Linked DNA regions of Tamandua tetradactyla. The protein of the gene in region 2 interacts with the protein of the main gene of each other region in a pairwise test. Links are inferred from orthologs where the notes say so. Each region holds a gene or a part of one and is shown on either strand. Other genes may lie near its edges.

Region 1 (3,748 bases), on a different chromosome or scaffold from region 2:
CCAGGGTATCTGGGAGCATCCTCCCCAGAATCGTGAACACTCCTGCAGACCACCCTGGCGTCTGCATTGCTGAGGAAGTGGCAGGCATCTAATATGGACGCTGCCCCTGTTGCCCCACCACCACCCCCAGCCAGGTCCCGACCCTGAGCATCTGCTCTGCAACCACAGGCACCACGACTCTAACTGCCCCATCCCAGGCTGTTCTCAGTGCCTGACATCAATCACGATTCAACCTGCCAGAAGCACTGCAAGGCAGGTACTGTCCTCTATATTTCACAGATGGGGAAATGGAGGCACGGAGTGGTCCAAGGACGGCTGGAGGTGTAGAGCTCGGGATTCTAGCCCGCCAGGCTGACCCCTGAGTCAGCAGCCTCCAGCTTATGCTTGCCTCCCGGACGCCCCCAAGCTGGGTCTTGGAGAGATGACCTTCTGAGTAGCGGTTGGGGTCAACCCAAACTGAGTCTGGGTATGACGAGGGAGAACTTTCGGGCAGAGGCAGGCCACCCGGGCGGAAGGGGTCTCTGTGGTGGTGGGCCGGTCGGGGGGTTTGGTGAGCAGGGCTGTGGGGTGGGAGGTTCTGCTGGGTCACCCGTGTGAGGGAACGGGCTCGAAGGCGCCAGACACAAACCCAATACTGCCGGACCCCCGCAGAAGCCTCAGAGGCAACGCAGGGGCCCGCGACGGGGCGTAACACGGCCCCCGACCCGGGACCGGCGGACCACCCTCCAGGGCCCGGCCCCTTGCCCTGCAGCCTCTGCGTTCCCTGCAAACCCCCGGGGCTGACGCGGCCCGCAGCTCCTCCTCGCGGTGGTTTCTGGTACTGCGAGTCTTCCGGCTGGCACGGGCCGCGGCGACGGTCAGTTTCGGGACTACACTTCCCAGAGGGCTGTGAGCGCGCGCGGGGCAGCTTGGGAGTCGTGGTCCGATGCAGGGAGCGCGCGCGGGGCGGACGGGCGCGGGAACTACGCGCCCCAACATGCAGCGCGGCGGCCGCGGGGTTGGGTGTTTGAACCGAAGGTCTCCCACCCGCGGCGGGGCTGCGCAGGCAGCGGTGGGCTGGGAGTCGCTGCGGTGTGGGAGGCAGCGGCTATCGGGTTGGGGTCCCAGTCGGGCTGCCGGGACTGGTGCGGCGGGCGCTAGGGCGCCTTCCCGGTGGCGATGATGGGCAAGGAGGAGGAGATTGCGCGGATCGCCCGCAGGCTGGACAAGATGGTGACCAAGAAGAGCGCGGTGAGGGGCGCGGGCCGCCAGGAACCCGGGACCCCCGCCCCGTCGAGGCCCCGCCGTCCGCGCCTGGGGCCCCGAGCGGCAGGACGAGACCCCGTCCCGGCAGAGCCTCGGGACGCGGGGAGACCCCCGCCTCAGTCCGAAGCCCCCGCCCGGGGCCACCTCTGCCTTCAACCCCGCGCCCCCGGCACTGACCGCGATCTGGCCCGGACCTTTTCCCGTGAACCGCCGGGCCGGAATTCAGACCCCTCCCGCCACACCAAGACCCTCAAGCCTGGGCTGTGACCCCCGAGCGCGGGCCAGTGGAAACTTTCCTGGGGTTGCCCCGCCCCCCTGGCCTTCCTCCCTTCCTGCCTGGATGGCCTCTCTGGCTTTAGATCTCCCCCTCCTCAACCCTGGTTTGCAACTCAGAGCTTCTCTCAGCCCAGGTTCCCCATCCCTTTTCTCGCCTCCGTCTGAGCTCCTCACTCCCTTAGCCCCTTTCCCCGCAGCTACCAGTGCCTCCCCTAGGTCTTCCTTCTCATCCCTTTTCACAGGCCAGAGGCCTTTCCAGGCAGCGACCCCCTCACCCCCATCCCCAAAGTCCAGGTCTTTAATAAACGCTCCCTCGCTCCCTTAGCCAGAACGCAGCCTGCAGCGACTTGGGGGGGGGGGTCGATGTGTAGAGATCTTCAGGCTGAAGCCTGTGGGCTTTTATAAGACCCCCGAGGACCCACCTGAGTCCTTTGTTACTCGGAGGCACAGTGCCATGGCCGCTAGGATGGCCCAGGATGCTGGGGTTGCCCCCAGGAGGTCACTCAGGAAGCATCCTTGGTGGGTTGCACCTGCCCACAGGGTAGTGGGGAGGGGTCACCGCGGTCCTGCCGCAGACAGCAGTGGCACTCTGCTCAAGAAACATGACCTATTCTTCCTTCAGACTGAGCTCCTGGGGGCGGGGCCTCTGGGGTGCACTCATGGGGCGCCTCCAGGGGTGTCAGCTGCGGCTCTGCTCTCAGGCCTGACCCAGGGGGTGAGTCATGGGCCTGAGATACCTGTGTAGACCTCCAGGCTGGTTTGGGAGAGGTTTTGGGTAGGGTTGAGTCTGGATCTCGGGTGACGGGTTCTGGGCTGGGGTCTGCCTGGGGATGCATGGGGAGGGGCGGCTCCCACTTGGCCCTTCACCCAGTCAGAGTTGGGCCTGCTCGGGCTTTTGTCCTGGGGTCTGTGCGCAATGTGCGTGAAAGGACCAACAGAGAGCCCAGGCGAGGCTGAGCCTTGATGTAGCCATTTCCAGAAATGACTGCGGGACGAAGTCGCTTCCCCTGGTAAAGGAGACAAACAGGATAATGCCCAAGCTGGGTGTGTGTGCCAAAAATCACGGGACCCAGGGAGGGCGCACTGAGGGTCGTGTCTAGGTGGGAAGCTCAGTCCTCAGAAGATGGGGAGAGGGGCGGGTGGGGGTGGGGGGCTCCACCCGTCAGAGTCTGCAGCTTGCCTAAGCGTCTGAAGTCCCTCCGGAGATGTGGGGCTGTGTTTGGGGAAGCCAGAAGTCGTTGCCGCAGCCATGGCTCCCACACCGACATTTTTATGCCTCCTCTGGTCCCCAGGAGACTGGTTGGGGATGAGTGGTGGGCGGGGCTGTCTGTCCCTTCCGAAGTCACCCCAGGGGTGGGGCCTGCTGAGCAGAGAGGCAGCCTGGGGTGGGGGTGGGGAGTGTCCAGCTGAGCCGCCCACCCCCCCCCCCAAAGCCTCTAGGCTTCAGGACCTCTTAACTCTTATTCCCTTGGGTGGCTGGGTTGTTGATCCCTCAGGGGTCATCCCTGGCCCCCTGCCCTTGTCTGGTGGGGAGAGACATGTCAATATGGGATAAAGTGATGCATCTGGAGGCAGTCAAGTAGGGTGGGCACAGGTTGCAGTTTCAATAGGAAAAGCCTTGCTTAGGTAGTGTCATTGGAGCAAAGATTTGGAGGAAGGATAGAGGTGAGACCTTTAGTACTCCAGGGAGGCGTGAAGGCCCTGAGGCATGTGGCTTCCGCTTAGCTGGGACTGGGAGGGACTCTGCGCCTGAGTGCTGGCTGGCAGCACCAGGGGTATTGGAACAGAAGAGCTGAGGGGATGCATCTGCCAGATTGGGGGCAGGGTCAGAGGAGGAAGACCCATGGGATCATGGCCCAGGTGAGGGGTGGAGGTGCAGAGCTGGGCCCACCAGATCAGCCGATGCCACTGAGGGTTTGTCCTGAGCAGGAGGACATGCCCCTGGTGGGGTCCTCAGTAGGGAAACCCACAACCTCTGCCCAAGACATGGGGACAGGTGGGTGGAAGACACAGGACCACACCTACCTGGGTTGACTGTTTGTTCCTCTGGGCTGGCCATACTGTCCCCTGAGATGTGGCTCTCAATCACCTGCTGGGAGGTGCAGTGCCCCACAGATGCTCTTCTGGGCCTCTGTGGGGTCTAGATTAGAGAGTGATGTAAGGTGGTTATGAGGAAGTTGTCAGGTTGGAAGGCTGGGCTGGATTGTCCTTCTCATTCCTGCCCCTC
Region 2 (3,748 bases):
GCCAAAGCTACAGAAGAAACAAGGGTGTCAAAGCCGAAGGCGGCGACACGGATAGCGGCTTCACCTGCCTGCCGTGACGGCAGAAGTGAACTGACTGAGGACCGGAAGGATGGTGCAGTCCTGTTCCGCCTACGGTTGCAAGAACCGATATGATAAGGATAAGCCCGTTTCTTTCCACAAGTAAGTGTCCTCCGTGCCTCGCGGGACCGGCCCCAGCTGGGACTGGGGACGCGCGATCGGCTAGTGTCGGGGGCGGAGCCCGGCGCGGGTCTGCTTTGAGACTGAAGAGGGAGCGGAGGCAGGAGCAGGGGGCGGAGGCAGGGGCGGGGCGCGCCGCGTCGGGGGCGTGCCGGGCGGGGGTCCTCGTGGAGAGGCGCGGCTCCTGCGCCCGAGCCGCGCTCTTCCGGGCCGCGCGCGTTCGCGGTGCGTTGCCGCGGTGACCGTTACTCGTGGTCGGAGAGGCGCACTTGTGTCGCTTGCTGACGGACTCGTGGTGGCGAGTTCCGAGCCCGTGGGCGAGGCGCCGAGTCCCCTCGGGTGCTGAGATGTCGAGGCTCTCAGATCCGAGCCCTGCAGAGTGAGGTGGCGGTAACTCCTCAGCGGCGTTTTTGAAATAGAAACAAAGACATTTACAAAGACGGTGGACGTCAGTTTTTCGTTCCTGAGAAACTTTCTGTGAATGGGCGGCCAGAATCGCAGCAGTATGGATTCATTTTCTGGCCAGGATTTGAGGGAGCGTTTTATTAATTTTTTATTTAACTCAAAGGAACAACGTCAGGGACTCCTAAGTCTTAGAGGAAAGCTTCTGGTACTGCCACGATAACTGATTGTCTTTTCAGCACACCGTAGTCGTAATATGGACCATAATAAATGCCGTGATAAAGGTCAATATGAGGTACTGTGGGAACATAGAGGAAGCCCTCGCAGCCTTCAGGGCTGTTTTATCCAGTAGGTGCTGCAATTACAACCTTATGGCGAAAAATATTGTCTTCTCAATGGGAAAACTACAAAATCGAAATTGAGTTGATGTTGAATGTCTACAGCGTGGGCCATGACGGCATTTTTATTCAGCCAAACTTAGTATTTACAGATTTTAAATTTACGTTAAATTTTCTTTGCGAGAGCTTCCGAATCTACATAGATAGCTGAGAAATCAGAGCAAATAGTAAAATATCAAAAATTTTTCATATTCAAATAATTACAAAAGCCAAATTTTAAGTATTCTTTGGGGTGGGGGGAAATAGAGAGTGGGGATTACATACTGTTTATGTTTAGTCGGGGATGTGGATGATCTTAATCTGTTTGATATAATGTGAGATTGACGCTACAGAAATGGGAGCCTAGAATGTAGATCTTGAAATGGAAGCTTAGAACATAGATTCACGTAGGAGGGTATAGAATACTTGCAGGATTCAGTTCAGTAGAGCCTAATATCTCTTGATTTATTGTAATCTCAGAACCCTAATGACATTGACTTCCAGTAGGAATAGGTCAGATATAGTGCCACTATCGTTTGCATTCAGCTCCCCATCCACGCATTTCTGTTGATACCTCACCTCAGAGGGAATCTAAAAACTCTTCCTTGGCACTGGAAAGTGGTTAAGGATGACATTCACACATTAGAAACATTGAATTTCTGCTGGATATTAAAACGATTGATTCTAAAGAACAGCTAACTGCATCTCACCCCTTACCTAAACAGTATTTGGGGAAGTAGATGGGAAAGATCTTTTTTTTATGAAAAAACGTTTGTTTTATGATTTTTTTATTTAAAAAAATTACAGAAACACAAACATTCCCAAAATGTGATCATTCCATTCTACATATATAATCAGTAATTCACAATATCATCACATAGCTGCAGATTCATCATCCTGATCATTTCTTAGAACATTTGCATCAATTCAGAAAAAGAAACAAAAAGACAACAGAAAAATCAAACGAAAACAGAAAAAAAAAACATACACACCATACCCCTTACTCCTCCCTTTCATTGATCACTAGCATTTCAAACAATTTATTTTAACATTTATTTCCCCTATTATTTATTTTTATTCCATTTGTTCTACTCATCTGTTGACAAGGTAGAGAAAAGGAGCATCAGGCACAAGGTTTTCACAATCACATAGTCACATTGTGAAAGCTATACCATTATACAATCATCATCAAGAAACATGGCTACTGGGACACAACTCTACATTTTCAGGCAGTTCCCTCCAGCCTCTCCATTTCGTCTTAGATAACAAGGTGACATCTACTTAATGCATGAGAATAACCTGCAGGATAACCTCTCGACTCTGTTTGGAATCTCTCAGCCATTGAGATGGGAAAGATCTTGACAGAACCTCACACACAACCTGAGAATTTGTACCTTGGTTCAGGAGGCCATATGCAGCAGGGACCCTCTTAGAAGTACCTTTTCTCCCAGTTTAAACTTGTTGACAGCAGGATGAGCTGTGCTGGACAAAGAGGGGCGATTGTCATTAAGATCAGTTCGCTCTTAATGATAATAGCAGTAAGGCCCTGGCATACCTTAGATGAAAGAGAAACTGTAGAATAGAATATAGGTTTGAAATATGCTTTTTTGGCTTCTTTGAAATCCTCCGGGTTTACTAGATCTTTGACCTGGAAAATAAAATTACAGTAAATTTAAATTCTTCTTACCTCCCTTTATCTGGGCCTAAGGGAGATACTCCATTTACTTAAGAAGTAAGTCAAAATAAAGACATAATTTTCTTTATTTCTTTATCATTATCATTCGCCTATAATTTGATTAATTCAAATTCCATCTGTTCATATTTATCAGATTAATTCTTGAGAACTAGAAGAGTTTTCTTCCCAGCACATAGATATAAATGTGCAACTTTATTTTACAGCACACACATACGTACAGAAAATTACTGGTATAAACAATACTACAAATTCACTTTATGACAAGTATATTGTTTGAGACTTTGTGTCTTCAAATAAAGTTAACTTTAATCAATGAGCTAAATAGATATATGGAGCTATTCTTTAAACAAAAGTTCTTTAGTATGTTAACACCAATGTAAGGTAGTGCTTTTTTTTTTTTAATAATGTCACAGAACTGAGTTATGTCATCTTCTTAGGTTTCCTCTTACACGACCCAGTCTTTGTAAAAAATGGGAGGCAGCTGTGAGAAGGAAAAACTTTAAACCCACCAAATATAGCAGTATTTGTTCAGAGCACTTTACTCCAGACTGCTTTAAGAGGGAATGCAACAACAAGTTACTGAAAGAGAACGCTGTACCCACGATATTTCTTTGTACTGAACCACATGACAAGGTAATTGTGTTTTAAAATATTAGGTGCTTTCCTGTTTATAAAACTAATGTATGTATTGTGGGAAATTTGGAAAATTCAGAGTAATGTTAAGAAAATAAATACTACCTAGTACCCATTACTTATAAATAACTACTATTAACAGAAATATACTGTTTAAAAACATAAGATGCAGTTTATTAAATAAATATTTTCTTTCTTAGAAACATATATTGACTTTGTAACTTAAAGATCATTCTATAACCCTTCTTGTATGTTGGTAAGTTTGGGTTTTTCTTTATCAGCCCATAGTCTTTTGTTCCTCAGTTTTAAGCACTTAGTACATATTTAATTAAATTGAAGTGCTTGTTCTGCCTGTTTATTGCATCATGCTTTACTTCAGGTAGGAAAGTATAACTAAAACTTAAACTGTTTTCTTGTTTTGGACAGTTTCGCTAACCATGGA

What was found. The genes of interacting proteins can lie anywhere in the genome.
Region 1: the proteins of THAP1 (region 2) and TCEA2 interact in binary tests that used the Homo sapiens proteins (3 or more experiments, as listed by UniProt). The two-hybrid records come from large-scale screens. The link is inferred for Tamandua tetradactyla from reciprocal best matches to the Homo sapiens genes THAP1 and TCEA2.

What each region holds. Positions count from the first base shown.
Region 1 is NC_135327.1:61,526,683-61,530,430, forward strand, and holds the start of TCEA2 (transcription elongation factor A protein 2), read left to right. Parts: upstream 1-969; 5' UTR 970-1,158; coding exon 1,159-1,230; intron 1,231-3,748. UniProt on the Homo sapiens protein: Necessary for efficient RNA polymerase II transcription elongation past template-encoded arresting sites.
Region 2 is NC_135329.1:18,331,123-18,334,870, reverse strand, and holds the start of THAP1 (THAP domain-containing protein 1), read left to right. Parts: upstream 1-844; 5' UTR 845-856; coding exon 857-948; intron 949-3,110; coding exon 3,111-3,306; intron 3,307-3,748. UniProt on the Homo sapiens protein: DNA-binding transcription regulator that regulates endothelial cell proliferation and G1/S cell-cycle progression.